2 linked regions of the Anolis sagrei genome follow. The protein of the gene in region 1 interacts with the protein of each later gene in a pairwise test. Links are inferred from orthologs where the notes say so. Each region holds a gene or a part of one and is shown on either strand. Other genes may lie near its edges. The genes, in order: ACOT8 and PEX5.

Region 1 (16,237 bases):
AGGCTGCTAGGAATGGTGGGAGTTGGAGTCCAAACTTTGGCCACTCTGGCCACCCTTCCTCTCCCTGAACCCCTTTCGCCGTGCCCATCTCCTCCTTGAACTGGACACAGCGTTGTTATTCCAGGTGAGGAAGTCTGACCAAAGCAGACGAGAGGGATAGCGATACTTCATTCAATCCAGACACTACGCCTCTGTGGATGCAGACTGGAATCGCATTGGCCTTTTCTGCTGCTGCATCACACTCTTGGCTCATGTTCAGTCCTATATCTTACTATTGACAAGCCATGGGGATGTTGCTTTCCTCCACCTGGACACTATCCTGCTATGGATGCAGACTGGAATCGCATTTTCCGCTGCTGCATCACACTCTTGGCTCAATTCCTGGACACACAACATTCAATTCAGTCCTATATCTTACTATTGACAAGCCATGGGTATGTTGCTTTCCTCCACCTGGACACTATCCTGCTATGGATGCAGGCTAGAGAATCGCATTGGCGTTTTCCACTGCTGCATCACACTCTTGGCTTATCTTATTATTTACAATCCTATATCTTACTATTTACAAGCTATGGGGATGTTGCTTTCCTCCACCTGGACACTATCCTGCTATGGATGCAGGCTAGAGAATCGCATTGGCCTTTTCCGCTGCTGCATCACACTCTTGGCTCATGTTCAGTTCTATATCTTACTGTCACCAAGCGATAACTATATTGCTTTCCTCCATCTGGACACAATCCTGCTATGGATGCAGACTGGAATCACATTGGCCTTTTCCGCTGCTGCATCACACTCTTGGCTCATGTTCGGTCATATAAATCTTACTATTGACAAGCCATGGGTATGTTGCTTTCCTCCACCTGGACACTATACTGCTATGGATGCAGGCTAGAGAATCGCATTCGCCTTTTTCGCTGCTGCATCACACTCTTGGCTCATGTTCAGTCCTATATCTTACTATTTACAAGCCATGGCGATGTTGCTTTCCTCCACCTGGACACTATCCTGCTATGGATGCAGACTGGAATCGCATTGGCCTTTTCTGCTGCTGCATCACACTCTCGGCTCATGTTTAGTCCTATATCTTACTATTGTCAAGCATTGGCTTTATTGCTTTCTATGGATGCAGGCTAGAGAACTGCATTGGCCTTTTCCACTGCTGCATCACACTCTTGGCTTATGTTCAGTCCTATATCTTACTATTGACTAAGCCATGGCTATGTTGCTTTCCTCCATCTGAACACTATCCTGCTATGGATGCAGACTGGAATCGCATTGGCCTTTTCTGCTGCTGCATCACACTCTTGGCTCATGTTCAGTCCTATACATCTTAACTATTGTCAAGCATTGGCTTTATTGCTTTCTGTCTGGACACTATCCTCCTGTGGATGCAGGCTAGAGAATCGCATTGGCCTTTTCCGCTGCTGCATCACACTCTTGGCTTATCTTATTATTTACAATCCTATATCTTACTATTGACAAGCTATGGGGATGTTGCTTTCCTCCACCTGGACACTATCCTGCTATGGATGCAGACTGGAATTGCATTGGCCTTTTCCGCTGCTGCATCACACTCTTTACTCAATTCCTGGACACACAACATTCAGTCCTATATCTTACTATTGGCAAGCCATGGCTATGTTGCTTTCCTCCACCTGGACACTATCCTGGCCTTTTTGGCTGTGACATCCCACTCTAGGCTCACATCCATCCTCGGTCCCTCTCGCATGGACCATTTCTAAGGCAGGGGCCTCCCCATCCTATACCTGTGTATTTTTATTGCCTCGGGGTGGCCCCATACATTTCTCACCTGTGGGTCCCCAGGTGTTTTGACTACAACTCCCAGAGTTCCCAGCCAGTTTACCAGCTGCTTGGATTTCTGGGAGTGGGAGGCCAAAACACAACGAGAGAGGGACCCCCCCTCCCCCGTTGAGAACCACTGTTTTGCCAGTTGGGGTCACCCGGCTGTCACTCACCGGCCCAGGGGCTCTCGCACTCGTAGAGCATCCAGTGGTCGGCCCGGAAGGGGGCGTGGAACCAGAGGGAGTGGTCCAGGGAGGCCATGAAGCCCACCTGGTGGTGCCGGTGGGGCAGGAGGGCCGTGGCCAGGAGTGCGTAGTCCGAGATGTAGGCGGCCACGCAGCAGTGCAGCTTCATGTCACACTCGCCTGGAAGGCAAACGCAGGCTGATGAGGGCTCTGCTCAAAGAGAGGAGGGAGGGAGGGAGGGAGGGAGGGAGGGAGGGAGGGAGGGAGGGAAGGAAGGAAGGAAGGAAGGAAGGAAGGAAGGAAGGAAGGAAGGAAGGAAGGGCAGCCCGGCACCCTCTGCCTTCCCCCAGACATGCCCCAGGGAGGCATTCTCATTGATTTATGTCGGCTTCCTTGACACCCTGTGCTTCTCACTCCTCGGGGGTCTCAAGGCCGCTTACAGCTTCGGCAAAAATTCAATGCTGGCAAAACCAACAGTAACAATAAACATATCCCCACCGTTAAAATAATTCACAATTAATCAACAAAACACATAAAATCATATGCAAAATAAAACATATCAAGTGTGTAAAGCAATTCATCCCAGATCCTTGCTTGTAATCCTTATTCACACCATGTCGAAACCCAGAGTGACCTATTCTTCCAATGCTTGGGCGCAGAGCTAGCTCCTGAGCTGTTTTCTAAAGACCAGAAAAGGGGGGGGGGGGTGTTCCACAACTGGGGAGCCACCACTGAGAAGGAAGGAAGGAAGGCCGTCTCTTGTAACCACCAGTTGCGCTTGCAAAGAGGGTGTGCCGAGAGCAGGGTCTCCCCAGGCGATCTTAACATTCTAGAAGGCTCATAGGAGGAGAGGTGTTCGGACAGATAAGTTGGACCTGGACCGTTGAGGGCTTTATAGGCCAAGACCAGCACTTTAAATTGGGCTCGGTAGCAAAGTGGCAGCCAGTGGAGCTGACGCAACAGAGGAGTTCTGTCCTCCGGTTAGAAGCCTGCACTACTACTGCTACTAACAACAACAACAACAACAACACTATGTAACACGATGTTTGTTCCTGGGTGATAAATATAGTTTCCGAATTGGTTCTATCATGAAAACACGGGAAAGGTTTTTATTACATTGCAGGAACTGTCTCTGCAGGAGGGGCATCGTCCAGCTAGAGCAGATTTTGCAATTGTTTTTCAGTGACTATCCCATCATCCATTCTCAGCCCATTCAACTTAGTTTGTGGTGGCCACAAAAGCAAAGGTTCTGGAGGAGAATAACCCCTTTCAAAGTAATTGCCGCGCAATGAAAAAGGCAACAACACTCTTAGAGCAGGAATGGAAGGTCTTTCCAATGTTGTGAGGTAACAAAGATGCCACAAGCTGCACATCATTACTGTGTATGGTTTTGCTTTATCGTCTTTGTACTCCTATGTTGTATTGTGTTGCTATTGTGTTTTGGTTTTACCTTATTGTAATATGCTGTTGGGCTTGGCCTCATGTAAGCCGGCCCAAGTCCCCCCCATTGGGGAGAGAGATGCTGGCGGGGTATTAAATAAAGATTATTATTATTATTATTAAGAGCGGCCCCGGCGCTTACCGATGTGTCCCCGAGCACGCACCCAGACGAGCTGCTTGGGCTCCTGCTGGCTCCGGCGGAAGACGTCGGGCGGGTTCACGGGCTTCATCTCAATGGGAACCTCCTGGGCCAGCATCTTGGTCAGGCCCTGCCGGTAGCGCTCCAGGAGGTTGGGGTCCCTTTGGAGAGGCAGAGAGAGGAACCAGGACGCTGGGGAGGGAAACAGGGGAGCTACGCCCACACTATAGTGGGTACTAATGCAGTGTGGGCATGCCTGGTTCTCCAGGGCGTGTTGGACACCAATTCCCATCATCCCCCACTGCTGCCTTGGAGGTCATAGAACCATAGCAGAGGCACCCCCCCCCCCAACCCAGCAGAACAATCTAATCCCATTTTATCCGGCAGGCCCTCATAGAAGCCAAGCCCTCACAGAATCAGAGAGTTGGAAGAAGCCACAAGGGCCATCTAGTCCAACCCTCTGCCATGCAGGAACAGCACAATAAAGCATCCCCAAACAGGTGGCCATCCAGCCTCTGCTGAAAGGGAGGCTCCACTGGACTCCAGGGCAGAGAATTCCATTGCTGTGGGAAGGAAATCTTTCCTAACGTTTAAGTGGAATCCCCTTCCCTGTCATTTGAACCCATGGCGCCACTGAGTCCTATTTCCCGGGCAGAAGAAACATGGCCGCCCTCATGCCTCCTCTCAGCCTTCTCTTCTGCAGTCTAAACATCCCCAGATCTTTAAGCCGCTCCTCCTCAGAGGGATTATTCATGGACTTGTGATCCTTTGAGTGGCCCTCTTCCTCGGGACACCTTCCAGCTTGTGAAGACCTCTTAAATGGTGTTGCCCAGAACTGGACACCATGTTCTAGGTGAAGAGGTCTGACCAAAGCAGAAGGGAGAGGCACCAGGACTCCCCTTGATCTAGGCTCTAGGCTCCTCTGGATACCCCTGCCCCAAATCCCCTTGCCTCACGGGACACTTGACTCAAAGTCTTCTTCACAGGTAACTCTGTGGTGGAGCCAGCCCTCCCATAACCTCTATCTGTGCATTTCAATGTTTTTCTGTCAAAGGGAAGTGTCCTCCCAAGTGACGGCCTTCCAACCTCTGCTTAAAACCTCCAGAGAAGCCCCCCCCCCCCCCCCCCCCGGTCCACAGAAGCAGCCTATTCCAGCTCTGGAAGTTCTTCCCAATGTTTAGGTGGAATCCCCTTCCCTGCAATATGAATGCATCGCTCCGTTGTGTCCCAGTCTGCGCAGCTGCAGACACCAGGCCTTCCCGTTCCTCAATTTAGCAATAACGTGCCATGTCCTCTCTGGAGGGAGATGGCTCCCTATTGCTACACAGCCAAAGCCAAGGGGGAGAGGCGGTGGCTGTGGAAACCTGTGGAAGCCAGCAGAGTCTACATGGAACACTTTGAAGAACAAGCTCTAGAAACAGCAACAAAAAAGCCCACCACATGGTTCAGATACGTAGATGATGCCTTCACCATTTGGAGCCATGGAGGAGGAGAACTTGTCTCCTGCACTGTGCTTATAATCTAATCTAATCTAATCTAGTGTGTGTGTGTGTGTGTGTGTGTGTGTGTGTGTGTGTGTATATGGATCTAAATAAATAAAAATGGCCCAGAAGGGGAGCTGGGAACAGGCCTTGCTTACTGCTGGAAATACAGCGGAGCCCCAGCACAATTCAGAATGGGACGTTCACTTAGCCTAGGAGAGATTTCTGCTGCCTTGAAGCAGAAACAGATGCATTTTTAATAATAATAATAATAATAATAATAATAATAATAATAATAATAATAATAGCAATTTAAATAATAATTATTATTATTTGTACCCTGCACCATGTCCCAAAGGGACTTGGGATGGCTCAGAAAGCACTCAAACTACAAGAGAGGAGATTCCATCTGAACATGAGGAAGAACTTCCTGACTGTGAGAGCCGTTCAGCAGTGGAACTCTCTGCCCCGGAGTGTGGTGGAGGCTCCTTTTTTGGAAGCTTTTAAATAGGGGCTGGATGGCCATCTGTCAGGGGTGATTTGAATGCAATATTCCTGCTTCTTGGCAGGGGGTTGGACTGGATGGCCCATGAGGTCTCTTCCAACTCTTTGATTCTATGATTCTATGATTCTATGATTCTATGAAAGGTGCCAACGCACAAAATACAAAAAGTGTAACATAAAACAATAAACAACCCACATAAATCATCACCACTTCAGAATGCCCCCTGGTTAAAAGTGCAGCACCAGCTGCTGGTAAAAACAACAGTAACCTTCAGTAAAAAAAACCACCTCACCACCTCTGAGGATGCTTGCCGTAGATGCAGGCGAAATGTCAGGAGAGAATGCCTCTAGAACATGGCCATATAGCCCGAAAAACCCTACAACAACCCAACAGGAATCTATCTAGTCTTGTAAAGTGCTTGATAGAAAATCTATAGGACCTCACGTATATTCATTAAAGGAATCTAAATATGGCCAAAGGCTTGATGAAAAAAACCATGTCTTCAGTTGTGTATGGAAGCTTGGAGGGTGGGGGCTGGCCTGATCTCCCTGGGGTGGGCATTCCAACGTCAGGGGGCCACCAACAAGAAGGAAGGCCCTCTCTCTCCCTCGTTGCCATCAACCGCACTTGAGACAGAGGTGGGACCCAGAGAAGGGCCTCCCCAGTAGATTTGGTTCATAGAAAGAGGTGCAGTCTCAAAGAGAGGTTGGACACGAAGTGTATATATAGCGTATGTATAAGAAGCAGCTCTGCAGGCTCAAGCAACGGAGGGTCAGTGAGCCAGGCAGAAGTGGCCAAAGAAAGGGAGGAGGCAGGCAGCCCCCCCTCTCTCTCTCTCTTTGCCCCTTTTCCCCATGGGTTGTCTCTCTGCCCGTGGCCGAGCCGAGGGAGAGGGAAGGCACTCACTGGAGGTACTTGTGGATGAGCTCCTCCTGGGTCAGGAGTTCCTCCGGGAGCGGCACGTCCGGCATGTGGAACTGGTGCTGGATGGGGCTGGGCTGCGCCGCCTGGAAGGAGGCCTGGCAGGTGAGGATGGGCATCCCGTGCTGGATGGCCTTGACCGACCGGACCGAGAAGCTCCTCCCCGTCCGAGTGCGCTCCACCTGGTAGAGGACGGGTACCGTGGGGTCCCCTGCGGGGGGGGGGGGGGGGGGCACAGCAGGGCTCAGCCGACAGCCAGCCTTGATGGGTTGTGTGCCTCCCCCCCCCCCCCCCAAAGGGCTCCGTACTGACCTGCTCTGACGAAGTAGCAGTGCAAGGAATGGACGTGGACGTCATCGCTCACGGCCTTTGCGGCGGCCACCAGGGCCTGGCCCACGATCTGGCCGCCAAAGAGACGCTTGGTGACCGGCACCCAGTAGTGCCTCCCGCTGGGAGAAGACAACGAGAAAGAATAACGTTATTGTCCGTGTACCTCGTACGAGAAAATTACACGCAATCCCCAATACACATTAGATACATAGAATTACAAAACAAGGCACCCATCCGTCCATATTCTAGTCACTATTGCACAACCCCTCATGCCACATCAGGGTGAAACCACAGAGTGCAATATAGTCACAGCTCTAGGATAAAAGATATCTCTCAGCCTCTTTGTCCTTGTTTTTAGAGGAAGGAAAAGGAAGAGAGAGGCAAGGCCGGCTGCCAGAAGGGTGCAATTGGTTCAGGACCTGCCTATCTGCGCGACCGCCTTCTCCCTTATGAGCCCGCGCGGTCCAGGGATGCTCTTCTCTTGCTCCCACCCCCCTCTCAGGCGCAGGTGGTGAGGACGAGAGAGAGAGAGGGCCTTCTCGGTGGTGGCCCCCCACCTCTGGAACTCCCTCCCTAGAGAGATTAGGCTAGCACCCTCCCTAGCCACATTCCGCAAGGAATTAAAGACATGGATGTCTCATCGGGATTGTGGCGCAGCGGGCTGAATGTCATCTGCTTTAAGATCCCTTCTGACCAAAAGGTCATGAGTTCGAAGCCAGCCCGGGTTGGAGTGGGTTTCCAACCAATTGTGTGTAGCTTCTTGTCGACCTTTGCAACCCGAAAGACAGTTGCATCTATCAAGTAGGAAATGTAGGTACCACCTATGTGTGGGGAGGCTAATTTAACAAAATTTACGAGGCCATAAAAAGACACCAGCAAAGCACTCCAGCAAAAGCATGCGGGGAATGCGGAAGTGCTTCATCAGTGTCGCAGATGGATGATGAAAGCGACAGCTCCCTCGGCGGCCAGAAAAAGTTAAATAGCCTCTGTCTATGTCTGTATATGTTTGTATGTTAAAATGGGTATTGAATGTTTGCCATATATGTGTACGCTGTAATCCGCCCTGAGTCCCCTGCGGGGTGAGGAGAAGGGTGGAATATAAAAAAAGCTGCAAATAAATAAATAAATACATAAATTGTGCTTTTGACTGACGGCTCCTATGACGTACGACCTGTAATGTGATCTGAATTATTATCCAATCCAAATTCCTATATTACATTACTAGACATATCCTTAAGTTAAGTTGAATCGGTCCTGTTAAATTGCTCAGTTTCCATGTTATTTCCAATCTGGGATCATAGAATAATTGAGTTTGACTCCAAGTCCAACTCCTTGCCATGCAGGAAAGCACAATCCAAGCACCCCTGGCAGATGGCCACCCAGCCTCTGTTTAAAACCTTTCAAGGAAGGATTTTCCACCACACTCTGAGGCAGAGAGTTCCACTGCTTTCCTGAGGATGCTTGCCATAGATGCAGGCGAAACGTCAGGAGAGAATGCCTCTAGAATATGGCCATAGAGCCCCGAACAAACCTACAACAACCCAGTGATTCCGGCCATGAAAGCCTTCGACAATACATTATTATTATTATTATTATTATTCCGCTGTCAGCCCTAGCTTCCGCCAACCTAGCAGTTCGAAAACATGCAAATGTGAGTAGATCAATAGGTACCACTCTGGCGGGAAGGTAACGGAGCTCCATGCAGTCCTGCCAGTGGCCACATGGCCTTGGAGGTGTCTACGGACAACGCCGTCTCTTTGGCTTGGAAATGGAGATGAGCACCAGAGTCCCAGAGTCAGACATGACTGGACTTAATGTCAGGGGACTACCTTTACCTATTATTATTATTATTATTATTCCTCCTTATTATTATTGTTGTTAAGGGTGTGGAGAACAAGCCCCATGAGGAGCGGCTGAAAGAGCCGGGCCTGTTGCAGTGCAGGGCCTTCTCCTCCTCCTTCCGGGCCGCAGCCCACCGACCCGCCCGCCCACCCTCCTGACTGACCGGAAGAGGTCGAGGTCCAGCTGCTCCAGGTTGAGGACGCTGGTCACCAGCACGCTTCGCAGGTCCTTCCCGGCGGCCGCCATCTTGGACGGAAACGGGTCCCGTTCGGGACACTCACTTCCGGTCGGTTTTCCGCGTTTCCTTAAGGAAACGCGGGGCAGAAGAGTTCCTGCTTCGCCATTGGCGGAGCCGCCCGCCCGCTTGCCGCCGGAGCTCCCGATTGGTGGGCTCTCCTTCGGAGGGCGGGGCTTATAAAGAGAGAGAGAGAGAGCCCGCCTGTGCCTGCCACGCGCATGCGCAGGGAGAGAATCCGCAAGGGCAGTCCGAGGGGTGGCGGTGGCTCTCCTTCTCTCCTTCCTCCTCGGAGGGGCCTCGCCGGGTAATTAGGGCGCGTGCTAATTGGCCTCCCAAGGGGTCTCCGGTGGGGCAGGAAAGGGGGGAGGAGGGGCTTCCTGGGGAAATCTCAGAAGGAAGGAAGGAAGGGAGGGAGGGGGCCAGGCAGGCCAGCAGGCCGCGCTCCCCACATGCCCAGAGGCACGCTTGTTTCCCCAAAAGGCACCGGGGGGCGGAATGGGCTGCTAATGGAAGGAAGGAAGGAAGGCGCTTTGAGTCTCCTCTGAAGAGAAGAAAGGGTGTGTGTGTGTGTGTGTGTAAATATAATAATAACTAGCCGCCCCCTGCCATGCGTTGCTGTGGCCCAGTCTGGTGATCTGGAAAATAAAGTAATGAGAAAGTGTTGGTTTCTAATCTATGTCATGTCTTTCTGCTTGAGGGTAAACAGTATTTCTTGCTGTTTCTTTGTCACTGTTGATGTGGAGAGTGTCTGGTTTGCCCACCCTGGAACAAGCAACACATCATAGTCCTTCTTTAAGGGTCCCTTTCAAATCTAGGATACTATATCTCTCTCTGTGTGTGAATCCTAGAATCCAAGAGTGGGAAGAGACCTCCTGGGCCCTCATCCAGTCCAGCCCCATTCTGCCAAGAAGCAGGAATATTGCATTCAAATCACCCCTGACAGATGGCCACCCAGCCTCTGCTTCAAAACCTCAATAGAAGGAGCCTCCACCACACTCCCTCCGGGGCAGAGAGTTCCACTGCTGAACGGCTCTCACAGTCAGGAAGTTCTTCCTCATGTTCAGATGGAATCTCCTCTCTTGGAGTTTGAAGCCATTGTTCCATTGCGTCCTAGTCTCCAGGGAAGCAGAAAACAAGCTTGCTCCCTCCTCCTCCTCCCTGTGGCTTCCTCTCACATATTTATACATGGCCCTGATCATATCTCCTCTCAGCCTTCTCTTCTTCAAGCTAAACATGCCCAGTTCCCTAAGCCGCTCCTCATAGGGCTTGTTCTCCAGACCTTTTATCATTTTAGTCGCCCTCTTCCTCTGGACACATTCCAGCTTAGAGTCAATATCTCCCTTCAATTGTGGTGCCCAGAACTGGACACAATATTCCAGAATCATATCTATCTATCTATATCGATGCCTGGGTGGCTCTTTGTCGGGAGGACTTTAATTACGTTTCCTTGCCCTGATGAAGGGAGTTGGATTGGATGGCCTTAAGTGTTTTCTGTTGGTCACGGGGGTCCTGGAACATGGCCATACAACCCTTAAATTAGGTTCTTGTAGGTTTTTTCAGGCTATAGGGCCTTGTTCTAGAGGCATTTCTCCTGATGTTTCACCTGCATTTCGTCAGGAGAAATGCCTCTAGAACATGGCCCTATAGCCCGAAAAAACCTACAAGAACCTAGTGATTCCAGCCATGAAAGCTTTCGACAATACATTTAACAACCCTTAAATTATTTGCCCCTATTCTGTCGTTTGTGGGATTCAGAATGCTCATTGATTGTATGTGAACTGTGAATCCCAGTGCCTACAACTTCCAAATGTCGAGGTCTATTTCCCCCAAACGCCATCTGTGCACATATTTGGGTGTGGTCCAGAACCATCATTGTTTGAGTCAACAGTGCTCTCTGGATGTGGGTGAACTATAATTCCCAAACTCAAGGTCAATGCCCACCAAACCTTTCCAGTTTTTTCTGTTGGTCATGGGAGTTCTGTGTGCTAAGTTTGGCCCAATTCCATCATTGGTGGAGTTCAGAGTGCTCTTTGATTGTAGGGGAACTATAAATCCCAGCAACTACAACTCCCAAATGACAAAATCATAATTTTTTGAGTGTTGGTCACTCCTTGTGTTGTGAGACGTTTTGTTGCCAAATTTGGTGTGATTTCATTCATTGGTTCTTTTGTTTTTAAGGAACTCATTATGCACTGAGCATGCATATATATATATATTACGCATGTGGCTGTGAGTCCTCAGAGGTTGTGAGGTCTGTTGGGAACGTAGGAGATGGGGTTATTATTATTATCTATCTGTGGAATCATGTCCCAGGTGGGTGGGAGGGAGGGAGAAAGAAAGAAAGAAAGAACTCTTGCCTGATCCAGGCAAGTGTGGACATTGCAAATGTCGATTAGCATTGAATGGCTTTGCAACTTCAAAGCCTGGCTGCTTCCTACTTGGTTGGGGCGGGGGGGGGGGGGAATCATTTGTTGGGAAGTGATTAGCAGGTCCTGATAAAGAAGCCCCCAGTACAGTAGACAAGTTCTTCTCCTCCATGGCTCCAAATGGTCAAGGCGTCATCTACGTATCTGAACCATGTGATGGGCTTTTTGTTGCTGTTTCTAGAGCTTGTTCTTCAAAGTGTTCCGTGTAGAAATTTGCTCTGACCAGGCTGAGAGGGCTCCCCATGGCTAATCCATCTTTCTGTTCATAGAATTCATGATCCCACTGAAAGTAGCTAGTGGTGAGGTAACAGAGCTGTGAAGTCTTCTGGGAAATTCTGTTGGGTGACTGCGATGTGTCCTCGTTCCCCAGGGCCGGGATCCGCCATGGAGCTGGGCTCCTGCTTCAAGAACTACACGGACTTCTCTGAGCACTTTGCCGCCTACAAGAAGGAGAGCCGGCTCCAGTTTGGCCTCAAGAGCTGCGTCTCCGTCCGCTTCCACAACCGACAGAACGGGACCCACATTCGGGAGGATATCACGTAAGAAGGGGGCGAGTGGGCAAGGGGCTCACGGGAGACAGTCACGCCCATGCCCTCCAAGCGCAGCCTCAACTTTGACCCTCCTCCAGGTGTTTTGGACTTCAACTCCCACAATTCCTAACAGCCTACCGGCTGTTAGGAATTGTGGGAGTTGAAGTCCAAAACACCTGGAGGAGGGTCAAAGTTGGCCCCTGCCTGCTGTAGGTGCAGCCAAATTAAATGCAGTTTGGCACCCTTTTAACTGCCGTGGCTCAATGCTGTACGATCAGAGAAATTATCATGGTGTGCCTTCCCAGAATAAGGAAATTCCCAGCAATATGTCCCTAAATGCACTTTATTAGTGATCTAGGATTGTTTACATGCCCCATCCCTCTCCGAAAAATTTGTATCCCACCTGGTCATGCTCAGCATTATTTTAAAATTTTTAATTATTACATTTAGCCAGCCATAGGTTTTTAAATGTTGTCGTGTTATTGTTAATGTTTACTGCTTATTTTTATGAGTTATGTATTGATTTGTATTACTGTTATTGTTTTTACTGATGTATTGTGGGCTCGGCCTCATTTAACTCGCACCGAGTCCCTTGGGGAGATGGTAGCGGGGTATAAATAAAGATTTTTAAATATTATTATTATTATTATTATTATTTATATCTTGCTTTTTCTCTTCATTCGGGGACTCAAAGTGTCTTACTCTAAAAGCAATTCAATACAACATAAAATATACAAAGATTAAATCAGAATTAAACATCATCAGTATTAAATATTAGGGATAATAGATCCTGACCTGGTAGGATCACTGCCCATTGTGAACTGTTAGGATCACAACTTAATCAGTGTAGCAAAGGTTATTTAGTAATGAAGGATTGCTAGGTGTGTAGATATTTCATTTCTGTCTGATGCTTTGCGCCGACAGCGATGCAAGCAGACTTTTTAAAAAGATCACAGGTTTTGTTTACTGATAACTTCATGGACTTCAAGATACAGGCACATTTCTTGTGAAGGGTTAGAAACTTCCATAATGTTTCAGAGAGTTTGTATCTTGACTTTATCATCTTGAACAGTTTCTTCATAAACTATGTTGCTATGTACAGCTCTCTTTAGTAAGAGTTTACTTTCAAATAAAACACAAGATTTAATAGTGTCTAACTTGTATTGTCGAAGGCGTTCATGGCCGGAATCACTTGGTTGTTTTTTTGGGGCTATATGGTGTTGGGAATCAAGAGTTGTGAGGCTCAAAAATGACCCTCTCTGGGGGTGATTCCACCAAAGTATAGCAGAGTGCAGGATGCACAGTTCAGAAGCAGCAGAAGCTTACATGTAGTGAGCAAGGATTGGCTTCCATTCAACAAGATGGAACAGGATTGCAGATCCACAACTCATAGGATCAAAAACAATATGTTTATTAAAGATAAAAAAATCCATTCTAGATAGGAAAGGTTCTTGGAGCTCACTAGCTTCACTGAGCTATCTTTTAAGGAAAAGGAAAAATAATAAAAGTAACTATATCTACTGCATCTTTATAATAATAATAACAACACTTGTACCCCGCTACCATCTCCCCAAGGGACTCGGTGCGGCTTATATGAGGCCAAGCCCAAATACAACAATACAAGCAATTAAAATAAAACATGGACAATACAATAATGCAACATTAACAATAAGACCACATGATTAAAAACTATGGGAAGGCCAAATGTAAAATTAAAATTGAAAATAATGCTGGAACATGGGTGAAAAAGTGACACATCTTTGCCTGGACAATGGCAAGGATGCTTCCTCACTCTAGAGAAGACAAAGGGAGAAGGGGCCAGAAAATGGAGACAGGCCACATGGCTTTTGCCAGGGCAATAAAAACACCTTTAAAAGAGGAAGTTACGTTTCCCTATAGGATTACATTCCTAGGTATTCAAAGGGGGAGGAGATAGTGCCATGCAAAGATCAGTAAGACAATCCCCCCTTTTAACCCCTTCTTAAACAACCTAGCTACAGGAAATTGGGGAGGAATCCCTCAGTCTTATCTAGGCTAGCTACTCATTGAGAGCTGGAGACTTGTGCAGTCAGGGATGAAGCCCAACATGTGGCCATATTCTAGAGGCATTCTCTCCTGACGTTTCGTCTGCATCTGTGGCAAGCAAGCACCCTCAGAGATTGTGAGACCTCACTACCCCTCCCTTACAGCTCCTCCTCTTCTCTGATCCCCAGGTTCATGCGGGTGAAGTTTGGCTGCATTCAGTCGCGAGAGCAGGCCAAGAAGAAGAGGAAGAAGAAACAACAACAACAGCAGCAAGAGGAGGAGGAGGAGCCCCAGTTGTGCCCGGCCTACTTGGTCCTGCAATACAGCGAGGAGCTGGACCGACTAGTGATCACGGAGCTGAACTCCAACCACATCCATGCGGAGCCCAAGGCCCCTTCGTTCAGCTCTGACCGTTCCCCTTTGGCCAGGCTGGCTGCCAGAATGGCCGCCTCCAGAGCCTACGGCGCCCCTCCGGCCAAGCTGCGCAAAGAGGAGCCTGCAGAAGTGAAGGTGAAGGTCGAAGCCGACAGCGACGTGAGCGAGAACACGAGAACCGATGCCGAGAAGTGCCCGCCTGCTTCCCTTTCTCCTTCTGAGGAGCCAGGGGCCCCTCAGGCGGGCGAATACGGTGGCAGCAGCGCCAGCAGCTCCCCCCTGGTGCACATCGATGAGGTGATGCGGGTCTTCCAGCGCACGGACGCGGGCTCTTTGGCCTCGTTCCGCCTGGGCAGCAGCAAGGAGCTGGAGCGCCTGAGCTTCCAGACGGGCAAGATGAAGGGCCTGTTCCTGCGTTTCCCCGAGAGCCTGCTGCTGCACCGGGTGGTGGGCTGCGGGGGCCACACGCTGTACGCCTTCCTGGTGGAGAGCAAGGACCGGGTGGGGAAGCTGGTGCACTTGGCCATCCTGAGGGACGACACGCCCGAGAACGTGCGCGAGATGCTCTCCGTCTTCAAGAAGTTCAACGCGGAGGGGGAGGGGGAGGCGGAGGGGGGCCGGAGGAGGGTCAAGGCGGTGCTGGTGGACGTGGCCTTCCTCCACCGGGAGGCCCTGCGGGAGCTCTTCCCCTCGGCGCAGGTGCTGCTCTCCGTCTACCACGCGGTGCGGCTCCTGGAGCGCAAGCTGAAGAAGTCCCGCGCCTCGCTGACCTTCAAGAGCGCCCTGCGTGCGGCCCTGCGCGAGGCCGTCTTCTCCCCGTCCGAGGCCAGCCTGGCGGCCCTCTCGCGCGTGGTCAAGGGCCTGGTGGACCCCGGCCTCTTTGAGCACCTCCAGGCCCACTGGTTCTCCTGCGAGATGCTGTGGTACTTCCACGCCAAGAAGGGCCTGCACGCCTGCAGCACCTACATCGACAGCCTGGAGCTGACCACCCAGAAGCTGGCCAGCCTCTTCGGCCCCCAGCTCTCCCTGCAGGACGGCCTCCTCCGCCTCGTGGAGTCCGCCAACGACTTCAACACCAAAGGCCTGGAGAACCACCTCAACCAGCCCTCCTCCAACGGGGAGAAGGCGGGCGCTGGGCGGCGCAGCATCCTCATGGAGGAGCTCAAGAGCCAGCCCCGGCCCCCCCTGCCGCGCAAGCCTCGGCCGCCAAAGCACCCCCCACCCGCGGCCGGACAGGAGCCGCCCAAGCAGAGCGCCCGGCACAGCCCGGCCAAGCCGGTGGCCACCATGCTGGCCGCCCTGAAGGAAACCTGCACGGAGCTGGCCTACCAGCTGTGCCTGAACGAGTGGGACGTGGTGCAGAAGTCCACCCAGCTGGTGACGGCTTCCTCCAGGAGGAAGGCCGCGGTCCAGCTGCTGGAGGACACCCACCAGGTCGGCGGGGGCGGCCGGAACTGCAACTGTTACTTCTCTTGCCGCTACCAGCTGCCCTGCCGGCACGTCTTGGCGGTGCTGCTGGCGAACCAGCAGGTGGTGGACGAGGGCATGGTGGCCAAGCGCTGGCAGAGGAAGTACCAGCACCTGCCCGCCCTGCGCCAGAACCACCTGGAGTGGCCCCAAGGTGGCTTGCCGGTGGCCACGCCAGTACCCAAGGAGCGTCAGGACATGATCCAGTCCCTCAGCACGGAGCTGGGCAACCTGCTCCTGCAGAGCGAGGAGGGCCAGGAGCTGGAGGAGCGCAGCGCCACCCTCCGCATGATCGTCAGCATCTGGACTAAGCGCTCCGAGCTGCGGGAAGAGGAGGCCGCGGCCGCGAAGCCCCTCCACATCCGCAACGTGGGGGACCTCCCCTTCCTCTGGGTCAAGAAGGAAGAGCTGGAGGGAGCCCAAATCTCCTCGGTCGCTCACGGGGCCGCTCTGGACACCAGCCAGACTCCGGTGGCTTGAAACACGCCCCTTTGGCCAGTCGGTCAGTCCAGCGTCTGGTCGGAGGGGCT
Region 2 (16,237 bases), on another chromosome or scaffold:
TGAGTTGTGAACTGGTGCATTGTTTTGAAGAAGGCGGGCACCTTTGGTGAGCATGCCACATCTCTTGGTTCTGATGACCTCCCACAATTTCCGCAGCAGTGAAGCATAGTATGCCCCAGTGATCATGGTACACTTTGCTTGGAAATCCATTGATACTACTCCGTGCTGGTCCCAAAATACTGTGAGCATAATCTTGTCTGTACAGAGTAGGGCATGTGCCTTCTTTGGAGGGAGTGAGTTATGATATTCCCATTGCATCAACTGGCCTTTAGTATCAGGATCATAGTGATGGATCCAGCTTTCACCCTGTGTGATCAATCTGTTGAAAAAATCCTCCTGGTTTCCATGGCACATCATCAATAGAGCCCAAGAGCTTTCAACTCATTCCTGCCTCTGAAAAGGTGTGAGCAGCCAGGGAACCCAGTGAGCAGAAACCTTATGCATGTGAAGATGATATTGGATGATGTTTTCCATGGACCCCACACTAATATTGACATTTTGGGCAAGGTGGCGAATGGTTACGAGGCTATTTTCCAAAATGCCGACCTCCACTTGCTGGATGGTGTGTTCATCAGTAGCAGAGTGGAGTCGCCCTGGAATTGGAACTGTTTGCACCAAAGTGCGGCCACATTTGAGCTGACAATGCCAGTTCTTGACTACATCATATGATGGGGAATCATCACCATAAACCTCTTTCATCTCATCGAAGGTCTGCTTTGGTGTGTGGCCTTTCAAGTAAAGGAACTTGATGACTGCTCTATATTTCACTGAGTCCATTATCAAACCTCACACCACTCCAGCACTTGTAAAAACAAGACTGTTATCAGTTCTGAGTTGTAAATTGGCATGTAACCCATAGAGACTTATATCATTACACATGTGCAGTTTCCACATCCTGTGATAAATAGAAGTGGGTCAGGGGAAATCTTTAAAGAATGCCCCTCATAAGACTGGCTGGAAAATGGAGCTAAGTCATAGAATCATAGAGTTCGAAGAGACCATGTGGGCCATCCTATCCAAGCCCATTCTGCCAGACAGGTAAATAAAATCCTTCATGAGATACTGCTGGCCCTCAAAATCTTGCCTCACCTGCAACTTCAGCAATGAACTCCTGGGACCAGTCAGCTTCGTTATAATCCGTAGAAACATCAACCACACTGTCGGCAGCATTAAGGAACTCTTGTGACCAGTTTTCAGAGAGAGCCAGGGCTGCAACCCCTGGAGCTGAGGGACAGAGAACAAGTTAACATGGGTGTTCAAACTTTAGCAAGAGTAGTACCAGTACACAAGATTCCCCACCTTACGCTGTTTCCTAAATTCACTAACTTTCCTTCCAATTCCCAGAGAAATCCTTCCTCTGGACAGGAATGGATGCCATCATCACATGCTCTCATCCCCTGTGTAATATTTACCTCTCTGTGGGGCTTGCCGAAAACTGGATTGCTCGATTTCTTGCATCTCAGCCAACAGATCATCCATCTTGAATGTTTGTGGTGCACGAGACAGCAGGGGGCCATTTTGCTCTTGAAGGAACTCTGCCACCAGCTACCAAAAAGCATTCGGGGGGAGGGGGGTACAAATAGAGTGTATGTAAATACTGCAGAATAGTTTAAGGGTGTTGGCAACTCCAAGACTAATTCATTTGTTATGGTATAGTTGGCCCTCCACTTTTGCGGATTTCACTTTTTGTCACTTTGCTTATTTATGGGTTATTTGGTGCCACCTCTGCTGCCGCCCTACATATGGACTGCAAGTCTGGTAAGAGTGAGGTAGTCCGTGAACATGTAATGAGGCTCATATGTTCTTATTAAAAATGTAGGGCAGCAGTAGAGCTGGAGCCTGCCTCCCTCATACACACACACCCCTCACCTGCTAACTGGGCCATGACGGGGGCAGAAAAACAAGAAAAGGGGCCAGTAGCAATTTCCCCTGTTTTGCTGGGATGAAGCAGGTGGCACTGCAAAATACAGCAATAAATCCTCTAAGCCAAGCCTCTCTCCCATTTGTTTTTCAAGTCTTGCTGGGGGGGAAGGGGGGAGAGAAACAAGGGTTTTGGCTTAGAGGATTTATTGGTATGTTTTGTATGGCCACCTGCTTCATTCCAGGAAAAACAGGAAAAAATGCTTCTGGCTCTCTTATTTGGTTTTGTTTTCCCCTGGAAGCAGTAGGCTGTGGACTGGTAGCAATGTCAATGCATAGGGCTTGCTTTTCCTCCTAGAATCTACTGGCTGAGGCCTGTGAGGTTGAGATGGCAGCCACGCTGCAAAGAGGCCGTGGAGCTGTGGCAACTACTGTGGCCCAGTTAGCAGGCTGGGGGAGGGAGCAGGGCAGAGCAGCATGGTTTGGGCCCCTCGTGTCCCAGAAAGAACAGGGGAGGGGCTATTTGGGCTTTCCCACATTTGCTATGATCTTGTGGCCCTAGCCCCTACCACAATGGGAGAATGACTGTCTAATCTTGTGAGGATTAAGCAAACTGTAGTCAATATAAACTCACAAGTCTTTGTTTTTACAGCAATAGCTAACAAAGCCACCCCTCTAAAAAACACAGAGCACACAACAGAACGAGAAGGAAAGAGAAAAAAATCATTGAAGTTCTTACTTCGTCTTCTGAGGCTCTTCCAAGAGGTTTAGATATCTACAGAAGAAAAGGGAATGTTATCCGAGAACTCATAAAAAAAGAAACATTTGAGAGGTGGCACATTCCAAATTTTACAGGACCCCTCTTTTCCTACAACAGATGAGACAATATTTGCACATCATCCCAGGTAGAGCTCAACAAACTTACTTGTAACAAAAACTGTTGCAATCTCAGTGATCTCTGTGTTTAGAAAGACTCTTGCAAAACCATTAGGATTCCCATATAACTGGTTCTTAAATCTTCCTGAGAAGAATTTAATGCCCTTAAATGAACAACTCAGGTAGGCCTTCTCAGGCTCATTTCCTCAGAAAATAGTGGCAAAGCTATCAGGACATTAATGTATATTTGGCAGAACACCAACAACGACTTTTGGGTCTAGTTGTTAGGGAAAGCTACCCTAAAATAAAGCAGAGCATCCAAAAATCAAACTGGATACCAATAGTTGAGCAATCAGCCCAAAGGCGAGCAGAACATGCAGTGCCATGTGATGTGGCCGCAAAGATTTCAGAGCTTACGAAGCAAACACGCAGAATCCGATCTTTTAAAAAATCACAAATCATTTACAATAAAAGTCATTTACAATAATAAAGAACTAACTACATTTCTTCATGGTGAAGAACTGAATCTGAGCTACTCTAACACCCATCTCTCCTAAGGGGAAAAAGGGGAAAAAACTCAATCATTACATCTCTCCTGACACACAAGCAGAGAGAGATCTCAAAGCACACAATACATATTATATTCTCCATACTAAAGTGTAAGAAGGCAGAAAATTAAAAAAAGGCTTGCAGTAGACAAGTATTCATAAATAACCAATCAGAATGAGAGTAGAAAGAGAGGAGATGAAAAAGATACACCCCCAACTGTCATATAGGAGACTTGGGTGAAGGGAATTCCCTTAGCCTATCCTAAACTAACTGATCCTTGTTGAGGACTTGAGATTTGGACAGGGTGGGCTTGGATTCCAACATTAGTGAGGATCCCATCAGACAGATACACTCCACTGCCCATCTAAACTTTATTTCCAAAGTACAGTGCATCTGGAGGACACTCCCCCATTTCCATTCCACCTCCAAAGTGATGGGCTTGCTTAGGGAGCTACTTCAGAGACACTTGTGATTTTCAGCCAATTTTGGACAATGCATGGGGCAAGTTAGAGTGGGATGTTAAAATAGACTCCTGTTCATTTCCTTCCAGAAGTAAATTAAGCCCTTTGTGGCTTGGTCTCTCACCAATGTTTGCAGACAAGAGAGATTTAAAAACGGGCTTAAAGCTAACCTTTAAAAATGTGGTATAAATACAGAGAACTAAAAAGCCGGGGTTCTCAAGCATTGCAACTGGAGGTCAGCTCTTACCAACAGTTCTATGGATTTTGAAGAGGTACAAAGAGAGAGTGAAAGGGTGAAACATGACAAGAGGAAGGCATGTCAAGCAAACCCATGTTGGGACCACCTGCTATCTAGAAATCTATGTGAAATACCATGCAGATCCAGAATAGGTCTTCACTGATCCACGGCCAAGACTCTACCTCTAGAAGGGGCATGTTGCTGGGAAGGTTGTGGGTTGGATTTCTGGGGGATGTGATATTTAAAAAACCAAACATTTTGTTGTATTTTAACTGTATTTTGAATTTAACACGAAAAATACTGGGTTTTTTTTAAAAAAAATGTATTTGCTTTGTTTCAAATGGATCAAAATGTATGACTGTTAGCCTCCTTGAGTTCCCTCGGGGAGAAAGGCAGGGTATAATTAAAGTAAATTATCACACTATGTAACATAATTTGAAAATTTTGCTGTTCCTGGTTTGAAAGTGTTATTTCCTGTTTAATTGTATGGTACTTAATGTTGAAAGTAGTTGTTATACTCTTATACACTTTGTTTTGGTGGCTGCCACAAACTATGTTGAATTGGTTGAGATATTCATTGGAAAACAATAGCAAAATGTGATATAGCAGAATGTCCCACAAGAGCAAAGTTTTTGCAGTTTACTAAGTTTTTCCCCCCATATGTTTATGATAGAACCAATTAGGAAATGACATTTATAACCCAGGAACAAAAATCATGTTATATAGTGAGAAGACATTCATACTCGGCCGAAAGTGATCACCTATGATTAATCTCTTACTATCAGCAGACCAGCTCCTGAAATCAAAAGTCGACTATCCATTTTCCATTTATCTGGAGAATGTGGTGGCCTCAGAGAGGCAGAGAATAAATCAATGGAATTTTAAGAACCATGTAATAATAACTAATTATGATTATTTCATTTATTACCTGCCTCTCCTCGTGGCAGGTTAAAAAACAATTAAAATACATAAACACAACAAAAACACTACAAATATACACACTAAAACGTACCTCCATAAAAGTTACATACAAAACGTATCTCTATGAAATACATACTAAAACAAACAATTGTTTTGTAACCCACCTCCAGCCATGAGAAGAGGCAGGTGAGAAATATTATTATTATTATTATTATTATTATTATTATTATTTTACTGACCCAAAAACACAGTACGTCATAGCAAATGAGATCTATATGCTAGATTTCATATCACAAAACCACAAGTCGAACACTTCCCAAGCATCTAGGACTGTGTGATGTATTTTTGAATGATGCGCGCCGATCCAAGTAAGATGATTTTGTGAATGTTTATATTTCTAAATGCCAGCTGAGATCTTTTGGCATGGCACTCAGTATGCCAATTACCACTGGGACCACCTGTACTGGTTTATACCAAAGCCTTTCAGTTCGATTTTGAGGTCCTGATAACGGCTGGGTTTTTCCAGTTGTTTTTCATGAATTCGGCTGTCACCTGGTATGGCGACATCAATAATCCAAACTTTTTTCTTTTCCACAATTGTGATGTCTGGTGTATTGTGTTCCAAAACTTAGTCAGTCTGGATTCAAAAGTCCCACAGTATTTTTCCATGTTCATCATCATCATCATTCTCATCCAGTGTACTATCATTTTATGTTGTACCTTTGGCCCACCCACTGTGTTTTATTTTCCATTATGTTACTTTGTACTGTTTATTTTACTTTATTGGTTTATTTATTTTATTGTGATGTTATTTTGTTGTTTATATTTTATGTTGCTGTAATGTATCACTGGGCCTGGCCTCATGTAAGCCACTCCGAGTCCCCTTTGGGGAGATGGTGGCAGGGTATAAATAAAGATGATGATGATGATTATTATTATTTGAAACACAACAAGATTTGTTGTTGTTGTTCATTCGTTCAGTCGTCTCCGACTCTTCGTGACCTCATGGACCAGCCCACGCCAGAGCTCCCTGTCGGTCGTCACCACCCCCAGCTCCTTCAAGGTCAGTCCAGTCACTTCAAGGATGCCATCCATCCATCTTGCCCTTGGTCGGCCCCTCTTCCTTTTGCCTTCCACTTTCCCCAGCATAATTGTCTTTTCTAGGCTTTCCTGTCTCCTCATGATGTGGCCAAAGTACTTCAACTTTGTCTCTAGTATCTTTCCCTCCAGTGAGCAGTCGGGCTTTATTTCCTGGAGGATGGACTGGTTGGATCTTCTCGCAGTCCAAGGCACTCTCAGCACTTTCCTCCAGCACCACAGCTCAAAAGCATCGATCTTCCTTCGCTCAGCCTTCCCTAAGGTCCAGCTCTCACATCCGTAGGTGACTACAGGGAATACCATGGCTTTGACTAGGCGGATCTTTGTTGCCAGTCTGATGTCTCTACTCTTTACTATTTTATCGAGACTGGACATTGCTCTCCTCCCAAGAAGTAAGCGTCTTCTGATTTCCTGGCCACAGTCTGCATCTGCAGTAATCTTTGCACCTAGAAATACAAAGTCTGTCACGGCCTCCACGGTTTCTCCCTCTATTTTCCAGTTGTCAATCATTCTTGTTGCCATAATCTTGGTTTTTTTGACGTTTAGCTGCAACCCAGCTTTTGCGCTTTCTTCTTTCACCTTGATTAGAAGGCTCCTCAGCTCCTCCTCGCTTTCGGCCATCAGAGTGGTGTCATCTGCATATCTGAGGTTGTTAATGTTTCTTCCAGCAATTTTCACCCCAGCTTTGCATTCATCAAGCCCCGCACATCGCATGATGTGTTCTGCATACAAGTTAAAAAGGTTGGGTGAGAGGATGCAGCCTTGCCGTACGCCTTTCCCAATCTTGAACCAGTCTGTTGTTCCGTGGTCAGTTCTTACTGTTGCTTCTTGGTCCTTGTACAGATTCCTCAGGAGAGAGACAAGGTGGCTTGGTATGCCCATCCCACTAAGAACTTGCCACAATTTATTATGATCCACACAGTCAAAGGCAACAACAAGATTAATACACACAACAAGATTAATACACAGCAAACAAGATCATTATGCTGGTTGTTATATTGGATCACATGTTGGACACTTCCCAAGTGTCTAGGACTATGTGATGCATCGGCAAATAATGCCTACAGATCCGAGTAGGGTGGCATTTTGCAGCTGACAGATGGTAATTTTGTCAGTGCTGATTGTGTTTAAGTGCAGGCCAAGGTCTTTAGGCACTGCACCCAGTGTGCCGATCACCACTGGGATCACCTTGACTACTACTTATTATTATTATTATTATTAATTAGCCTCAATCTTGGGATGGTCTGAGCCACACCACTCTCCCCACACCCTCTCACAACCCCACAGCTTCCTTCTACTTACCACCTCGGCTGTGGGTGGCCCAGAAGGCCATGGCAGGGTGCCCCGTAGTCCTTCCTGCTGCAGGCCCTTGTCCTGGGTGAAGTGGCTGGCCAGCTTCATCAGGGGGTTGGAGCCCCCGCACTCGGGCTCCACCAGCTCCCTCATGGCCATGGCAAGTGACGGGGGAGAAAGGGAGACCCTCCTCACCTGTTGGAGGAAGGGGCATAACTGCACTGCGGGGTCTGCTCAGCCAGATCATGTGACCTGCTTGGCTGGGTTTCCCTTGAGGGGCCCAGTGGGAAGCTGAGCTCTCTCTATATCCATCTAGACTAGGCATGGGAAAAGTTGGACCCACTGAATGTTTTGGACTTCAACTCCCACCATTCCTAGCAGCCTCAGGCCCCTTCCTTTCCCTCCTCAGCCGCTTAAGCAGCTGAGGGGGGAAAGGAAGGGGCCTGAGGCTGCTAGGAATGGTGGGAGTTGAAGTCCAAAACACTCAGTGGGTCCAACCTTCCCCATGCCTGGTCTAGATTCCCAACCTTTGGCGCTCCAGGTATTTGGGACTTCAACTCCCAGAAGCCCTTGCCAGCTCGGCCCACGACCAGGAATTGTGGGAAATGAAGTCCAATAGGTCCCTGCGGCCCACAGGTTGGGAAGCACTGAGTCCCTTCTGCCAAGCATGCAGCTCCTCCAGGGGGCTGGGGCTCGCGCTGGAGGGAGTGGTCCCTCGAGAGGCGCAAGCCAGGCCGCGGATTGGGCCTTCCCCAGCCTCCCTCCATACCTCTCTCCAAGCCTCTGCCTTGCCCTGATCTCCGGGCTCGGGAGCTTCTCTTCTGCACCGCCGGGGAGACAGCCACTCGCCAAGCTTGCAAGGCCTCGGCCCCTCCTGCTTCTGCTTCTGCTCCAGCCGCCGCGAAGCCCGGACTGGCGACCACTGCGCGAGGCCCCTCCTTCTGGCTCACGGGGGGCCCGCCCCTCCCTCGAGGCGCAAGCCCCGCCTCCTTCTCGCTCTCTGTCCCCGCCCCCGTGAGGCCTACCTGGCTAGACTCGCCAAAAGAGGCAAGGGGCGGGGCCAGCCCTTAAAGAGCCAGGCCTCCTGGAAGGAGAGGGATGAACCATGAACCATGAAGCGGGCCCAGGCTCTCCATGGACAGTTCCTGGGAAAAACTGAGAACCAAATTGACAAAGAAAAAACATGGATATGGCTCACAAATAGAACTTGGAAAAAGGAGACAGAGGGACTGATTTTGGCAGCCCAAGAACAAGCCATTCGAACCAATGTATTGTCGAAGGCTTTCATGGCCGGAATCACTCAGTTCTTGTGGGTTTTTTCGGGCTATATGGCCATGTTCTAGAGGCATTCGAACCAATGCCAACAAAGCCAGAATTGAAAAGTCGACAACAGATCCCAAATGTAGACTCTGCAAGGAAGTCCTCAGCTGCTGCAAGAAGATCGCGCAGATAGACTACAAGCAGAGGCATAACACCGTTGCTCAGATGATTCATTGGAACCTGTGCCACAAATACCATCTGCCTGCGACAAAGAACTGGTGGGATCATAAGCCGGAAAAAGTTACAGAGAATGAACACATCAAACTCCTCTGGGACTCCGAATTCAGACTGACAGAGTTTTGGAGAGCAATACTCCTGAACTCACACTCGTGTTAAAAAAGAAAGTATGGATTGGCAATGTCACAAGTACCACCTGCCAGTAGTAAAGAACCGGTGGGATTATAAACCTGCAAAGGTAGTGGAAAATGAACATGCAAAATACTGTGGGGTTGACAAAGTTTTGGAATACAATGCTCCAGATATCATGATTATAGAAAATAAAAAAGTTTAGATTATTGGTGTCGCCATAATGGGTGACAGTCGCATTGAGGAAAAACAAGAGGAAAAAACTCAGCCGTTATCAGGACCTCAAAATCGAACTTCAAAGGCTCTGGCATAAACCAGTACAGGTGGTCCCAGTGATCATTGGCACACTGGGTGCCGTGCCAAAAGATCTCAGCCGACATTTGAAAACAATAAACATTGACAAAATCACGATCTGTCAACTGCAAAAGGCCACCTTATTTGGATCTGCACGCATCATTTGAAAATACATCACACAGTCCTAGACGCTTGGGAAGTGTTCGCCTTTTGCTTTTATGATAAGAAATCCAGCATATAGATCTCATTTGCTGTCACATGCTGTGTTTTGTGTCAGTAATATAGTAATAATAATAATGATGATGATGATATAATAGTAATGCCCAAAAATGGAAGAGCGAAAAGATCCCAACACTAGAAGAGTGGACAATAAAAATCCTCGACATAATGAATATGGGTAGTCTAACAAATGCACTCAAGAAAAACCTGAAACCCACGATAAGAAAGACGGATTGGACAGCAATTAAGAACTTCTTTAAAATTAAGTTAGATATAATGAAGATACGATGAGGAGAGACAGAGGGAAATAGATATGAATATCAAGATATCCTGAATGGACTACATCAGAGGAAATTGAAGATTACTGTGCACAGTCCTCTATTTTCTCAGATTTTTCACCTTTTCTTTTTTCTTTCTTTCTTTTTTCTCTTCTCTACTTTCTTTACGCCCCCCCCCCCTTTTCCCACAATTCACAATTTACTGGTGGTGGTGGTTCTTCATTCTTATTGACTCATTGTGCATTTTAAATAAGTTGAGAAATAACCCCTTAATGTACCCCTATTTTATCCTTTAATAAAAGATTAATTAACAACAACAAGCCTATGCTGCCTGATAATCCGGTTCAAACAGATAATCCAGATTCAGAGTGCAGTCTGTTCAGCACCTTCCAAGTCGCCCAGTCTTCTGTGTGAAAAGGAGGAAGTTTCTCATCCGGTATCAGCCATGGATTGAGGTTCCGGGTTTTAGCCTGCCACTTTTGGACTTTCGCCTAGTGAGGTTTTTCTGCAAGTAGCTCTGTAGATCTTAGAAAGCTGTTTATTGATTTAAGGTATTGGCGTGCTGGCTGATATCTGAACAGAGGATGGGACGGAGATGTCACTGCCTTGGTCCTTTCATTATTGGCTGCTACTTCCCTTTGAAGTCAGGCCCCATCTACAGTGCCACATAATCCAGTTTCTGAATCTGGATTATCTACTTTGAACTGGATTATATGAGCCTACACTGCCAGATAATCCAGTTCAAAACAGATAATCCGGATTCAGAATCTGGATTATATGGTAGTATAGATCCATCCTCAGGGCCCTTCTAGACAGGCCCTGTATCCCAGGATCTGTTTATATGAGTCCCCCACTGCCAGGTAATCTAGGATAAACAGAAAACCTGGGATCAGATCCTGGCATATAGGGTCTGTCTGAAAGGGCCTGCTGCCAGATAATCCAGTTCAAATAAAATAATCTGGATTCACAAACTGAATTATATGATAGTGAGAAAAGACCAAATCCAGCCAGAAATACAACAAGATACCAGTGGGTGCAAGTTCTTGTAACTGAGCAAAACAAACAAACAAACAAACCCCACAGCAGGCACATCAACGTAATGAGCTTTTCCCCAACAACATTTCACAGATAAAAATAAGGAGATGCTAATGCATGCACCCAGCAGGCAAGGACTTCCCATATCACACCAAGGCACCCCATACCTTTCCACTGCATGCCAGGACAGGTGGGCCAAGCACCCACACATAGGTGCTGTGCAGCAGGTCAAGACTTGTTCCCATGCACTTGCATTCTCCATGTTCACGTGTTTTACTGGCACAACAAGGCCTCTTTCATGCTCCAGTACAAAGAAATTACAGTGCATGAGTGGACTGGGCCCTGAGGGTGAAAAACTCCTGATTCTGGGCACTAAGCACCTTTACCTGGAGTTTTTATCACTCTGCCAGAGACAATCATAAAATCATATTGCGGTGGACCCAGGTTATTCCAGGTGAAGTTTGACCAAAGCAGAATAGAGAGGGACTCTGACTTCTCTCAATCTAGACCAGGCTATTAGGAATTGTGGGAGTTGATTGAAGTCCAAATCACCTGGAGGGCCGAAGCTTGCCCACGCCTGCTGTAGGAAAGGAAGTGGCCTGAGACTGCTAGGAATGGTGGGAGTTGAAGTTTGCCCATGCCTGGTGTAGGTCATTCCAGGTGAAGTTTGACCAAAGCAGAATAGAGTGGGACTCTGACTTCTCTCAATCTTGACCAGGCTATTAGGAATGTGCCTATTGATGCAACCTAGACTCACATTGGCTGTTTTAGCTGCTGCATCACGCTGTTGACTCATCATCCAAGCCATTGATAAAGATGTTGAAAAGTGTCATCTAACACAGAAACCCCTGCCTTCAAATTAATCTGACCACAGCAGGGGGTTCCACAGTTCCTGGGAGTATGAGTTTTCCAAGTATCTGCAGGACAGAGGCACTAGCAACAGCTACAACAAGAGATTCTCCTTTTCCTCCCTTTTCCTTGGCCTCTTTGTAACAATTCCCCAATAAAGAAGTATCCTTTTAGTAACTTTCTGCTACCTGCCTGAGACATTGTGTCCTTTACTTACTCTAACTCTGCCTTAAACCATAAATTTTCCCTCTCCCGAGCCGTGCAGCCCTGCTGGCTTGCCTGGGACGCTCCAGCAGCGTCCCGGGGGGTGATCCTTTATACCGTGGATACGGGGACCCACCCCGGTTTCGGTATCCGTGACTTAACTGATCGGCCCCAGACCAGCATTATCATCTTTCTTGATTAATTATAAGTCTAACTACTATCTCAATTTCTGCTGAATGGACCCCTACACCCCTCAGATCCATCTTTCTCATCCAAAATTCCCATGTGGAAACCTAGGACCTTTTCATGGTCCCATGGTTCTGCATGACAGCAGTACCATTTTTCTTTTGTGTGTCGCCTCGAGTGGTGCCTGATGGTGCTTGCAGACCCCGGAAATTCCTCATGTGTCACCCCTAAAACCCAGGCTAGCATCAGGCCAATCTGATCATTTTTATGAATTGGGTTCCTTTTTTTATGAATGAACCTCCTTTTTTATGAATGGACTGAAGTGGGGCTTGGGCTCTGATTGGATGAGCCACATCGGTCGCTGGCCGCTCCTCCTGGCTCACTGACATAACAACCAATCACAGCGAAGCTGGCTCAGGGGCGGGCGTGGGAAATTTGAATTGGGAAAACTGTTTATATTCTGTAATTCCCTGCTCAGGAGTCATGTCTGCTCCTTTGCATGATACTGCAGTCATCATCCTTTCCAGCTGGAATAGAAAATAAACTTCAGTGGCTTTGCTTCATCCTGGTGAGATTTATTGGGAAATACGGAAACTTTTATTGGTGCTTATTGTCTCTCCAGGCATAGCTGACCCTCCTTTTAGCTTTTCACCGGCTTCTGCTCAGGCAGGGCCCGCAAAATCGTGCTCTGCTTTTTTAGCACTGGGCGCAGGACAAACTTCTGTGGCACCTCCACTGGCCACTTCTTTCCAGGCTGAAGAGGAGCCATTTGTAAGCACCTTTGGGTTCTGCCAGTTAACCCATTCCCAATTCACTTCTGTAGCATTGTCCAAGGACTTGCTGAAATCAATCTACATCTACAGCATTCATTTCATCTACCAAGCTTGTAACTCTATCTGGCATCAGTTGTTTTTGAGAAACCCAATGCTGACTTTTTCTGAATATGGTATTGCTTCCTATATGTTTGCAGATTGTCTATTTAATTATCTGCTCCATAATCTTTCCTGTCATTGATGTCAGGCTGATTGGGTAGTAATTGTTTGGGTCCTCTTTTATCCCCTCTTTGGAGATAGGAACAATATATGCTGAAACCTCTCCTATTCTCCGAGAATTCTTAAAGATGATTGCTATTGTTTCTAAAATTATTTCTACTACTTCTTTTAATACCCTTGGATGTAGTTCATCTGACCCTGGAAACTTTAGTTGTGTATCCAATTCTGTATTGATAAATTCTCTAACTCCCCCCCCCTCCATGCTTTTACTATTTCCATCCATGTACATACCAGAAATATTATAAGGTCTTTGATAGTTTCTCATTTTTGTCTTCAGACAAGAAGAAAAGCAGTAATGCCCCTCTGAGGGCCTTTCCACACAGCCCTATATCCCAGAATGTCAAGGAAAAAAATCCCACATTATCAGGGTGTGGACTCAGATAACCCAGTCCAAAGCAGACATTGTGAGATTTTCTGTCTTGATATTCTGAGATATAGGGCTGTGTGGAATGAACATAAGGGCAGTTTGAAATAGAAATGACAGTAAAATGTGAGCTTTGACAACAGCTAGTCTGCCTAATAATGATTGACCAGTCTTTTAGCTTTTAAAAATATAACAATATATTTCAGTGTGCTATGTCATTTGTTCACACTATTCCTAAATATCTATAGCCTGAAAGACACATTGATAAATTGGACATTCTTTTTAGAGCTAATTGGTTCTCTTTGTTTGTAGTTAATATTTTTATTGTAATTTATTTTGAATCCTGTATGTATGCAATTGTGTCCCACGTAGGCACCGTGCCATCCACAATCAAAGTAGCTGGAGTGTTGTTTTAAGGACCACTTTGGAATGGGTGAAAGATTTGTCTGTTCACACTTGCGCACTCGCAGTGAAAGTGCTTTGGTCTTTTGCCACCACTAGAGGTCAGATAGGATCCACCAACCAAGACCTTATAAGCCTTTTCCCCAAGACTATAGCCCCATCTAAAATGCCATATAAAACCCAGATTATCTGCTTTGAACTGGATTATATATAGCAGTGTAGACTCATATAATCCAGTTCAAAGCAGATAATGTGGATTAGCCTGTTTTGTATTATATGGCAGTGTAGGAGGGGCCATGATTTCCATGGTTGAACAAGAAATTGAATCCTGCTTCTACAGCCTTAGTCCCACACTCAAACCTCTACACCAAGGGCCAGGTCACAGTCCCTCAAACTGTTGGAGGCCCGGATTATAATTTGGAAAAAAATATGAATGAATTCCAATGCACACTGCACATATTTTTTGTAGTGCAAAAAACAATACAATAATTAAAATGAAGAACAATTTTAACTTATTAGTATTTCAATGGGAAGTATGAGCCTGCTTTTGGCTGATGAGATTGGATTGTTGTTGTTGTCCCGTGCTTTCAAGTGGCTTAAGACTTAGGCTGACCCTGAGCGAGGGCCAGTTAAATGTCCTTGGAGGGCCGTATTTGGCCCCCGGGCCTTAGTTTGAGGACCCCTGCTCTGCAATATGCTGTCTTTACCTGTATGCCCTGTGCAGAAAGTAATTTTTGGTTTGGCATGCCTGAAAGGGCTTCCTTCCTTTCTTTGAGTCTGGTAGATAAATATAGCCCAAAACTTGCAATTACCGGGTAGGAGGAAGACTGTCAAAGGAACTATAATAGCATTTCTAGGAGCTGAACTCAGTATATAAAAATAACAATATGCAGAAGTGGAAGAGAAATGTTTCTACTTATAGTATCTGAACAATGAAAAAGAAAAGGTAGAACCCCTTTCTTTTTTTTTCTTACCCTATTTGAACTGAATAGACGCATGTTAAATTATTTTTTCCCTTTATTCCGGATGACTCAGTGTTGACTCTATCTGCCCCCTTCTTATCCCTGTCAAGGTAGACTGGTCTTTCTCTCCTCCCAAAATAAAAAACCCCCACATATTTTGTTATCCCAATGTGATTTCTTGAATATTGAATAAATTAAGATTTTTTTGTTTCTGTTTTTTTTGGGGGGGGGGGAGTTTTTTGCAGTTTCCAGAGTGAGAACTATGGCCTCATCTACACTGTCATATAATGCAGACTGAAACTGCATTATATAGCAGTGCAGATGGAACCTATCACCTCTTTTTCCTCAAAAGTGTATGTATACCACCTGAAGTTAGGACTTTGTTTCCAAAGGATTTGTCTCCTGCCTGTAGTTAATCATATCCAGTTTGCCTTCTTTTTTATTAAGCAAGTGTAACATCTGTTAATTTTTGCCTGAGGAAGAAATAAATGGTTTCAAAAGTTTTCACAGGGGATTTTGACCCTTTTTGATGGATGCAATAAAGGTGGACCAAGGGAAGAAGATTCTTTAAGTTTTCCACAGATTAATGACTCAGTGTGTTCCACCCAGGATAAGGTTTAGAGTACCAACTAGATTTTATATCTTCTGAAAAGGTGATCCAATGTTCTTATTTTTCTCATGTTCTACAGCAGTGGCTAGGACTAAAGGGAACTCCAGATGATGTGGAACTATACCTCAGCCTTTTCGAGATCATTCACATGTAGACAATAGCAGGGCAGATTCCAAAGTCATCCAAAGGACATCGAAGGATTAAGTCTGTCCTACCTCAATTTGTTAACCCAGCAGCATGTTCTGGGAATAACACAGATCAGACATAGAAGGGTACCTCCCCCTCCCCATAGTCATAGTTGGGACTGAATTCTGTGTCGGGGAGTTGGATTGACCCTAGTGTAAACACAGGGAAGATGAGAAACCAAGAAGGATAAGGCCAGGATGACGCAGCTTCTTCTTACCTGCCCCAAAGTAGGATGGATTTAGATAGACCCTGCACTCTATGGGATTGGATGGCATGGAAGTGTGGGGCTTGTGGGATTGGATGGTGTGGAAGTGCAGAGCCCTTCCCATAAAGACCCACCCTAAAGAAAAAAAGATAAAAGTTCTTAAAATGTTCCCCATTCAGGGCCTCCCTAATCCCGGGACCACCAGTCTAGTGACAGCCCCCTTTTGTGTGGGCCATGACGAAAAGGCCTGTTATAGGATATAAATATTTAAACATGAAAAAAGAAATAAATATTTATATCCCATCTTTCACTAGAGCATTTCAAAGCAGTATGTTTCATTGCACAATGGTAGCACTTTCCCTTCCTTTTTTCACCAAAAAAAGGGGATGTGACTATTATGCAACAAAAACATCCTGTCTTTGATTCTCTGTTTTCTTGTGTTTTTTTAATGCCTTATTTCTGAAAGGGG

What was found.
Region 2: the proteins of ACOT8 (region 1) and PEX5 interact in binary tests that used the Homo sapiens proteins (3 or more experiments, as listed by UniProt). The link is inferred for Anolis sagrei from reciprocal best matches to the Homo sapiens genes ACOT8 and PEX5.

The regions. Positions count from the first base shown.
Region 1 is NC_090024.1:248,874,824-248,891,060, reverse strand, and holds the start of ACOT8 (acyl-coenzyme A thioesterase 8), read right to left. Parts: upstream 8,908-16,237; 5' UTR 8,893-8,907; coding exon 8,810-8,892; intron 6,924-8,809; coding exon 6,787-6,923; intron 6,686-6,786; coding exon 6,460-6,685; intron 3,729-6,459; coding exon 3,571-3,728; intron 2,169-3,570; coding exon 1,977-2,168; intron 1-1,976. Other genes in the region: ZSWIM3 (zinc finger SWIM domain-containing protein 3), read left to right, coding at 11,695-11,849, 14,054-16,187. UniProt on the Homo sapiens protein: Catalyzes the hydrolysis of acyl-CoAs into free fatty acids and coenzyme A (CoASH), regulating their respective intracellular levels. Displays no strong substrate specificity with respect to the carboxylic acid moiety of Acyl-CoAs.
Region 2 is NC_090022.1:198,465,925-198,482,161, reverse strand, and holds the start of PEX5 (peroxisomal biogenesis factor 5), read right to left. Parts: upstream 8,251-16,237; 5' UTR 8,066-8,250; intron 7,492-8,065; 5' UTR 7,456-7,491; coding exon 7,306-7,455; intron 2,636-7,305; coding exon 2,600-2,635; intron 1,546-2,599; coding exon 1,413-1,545; intron 1,225-1,412; coding exon 1,090-1,224; intron 1-1,089.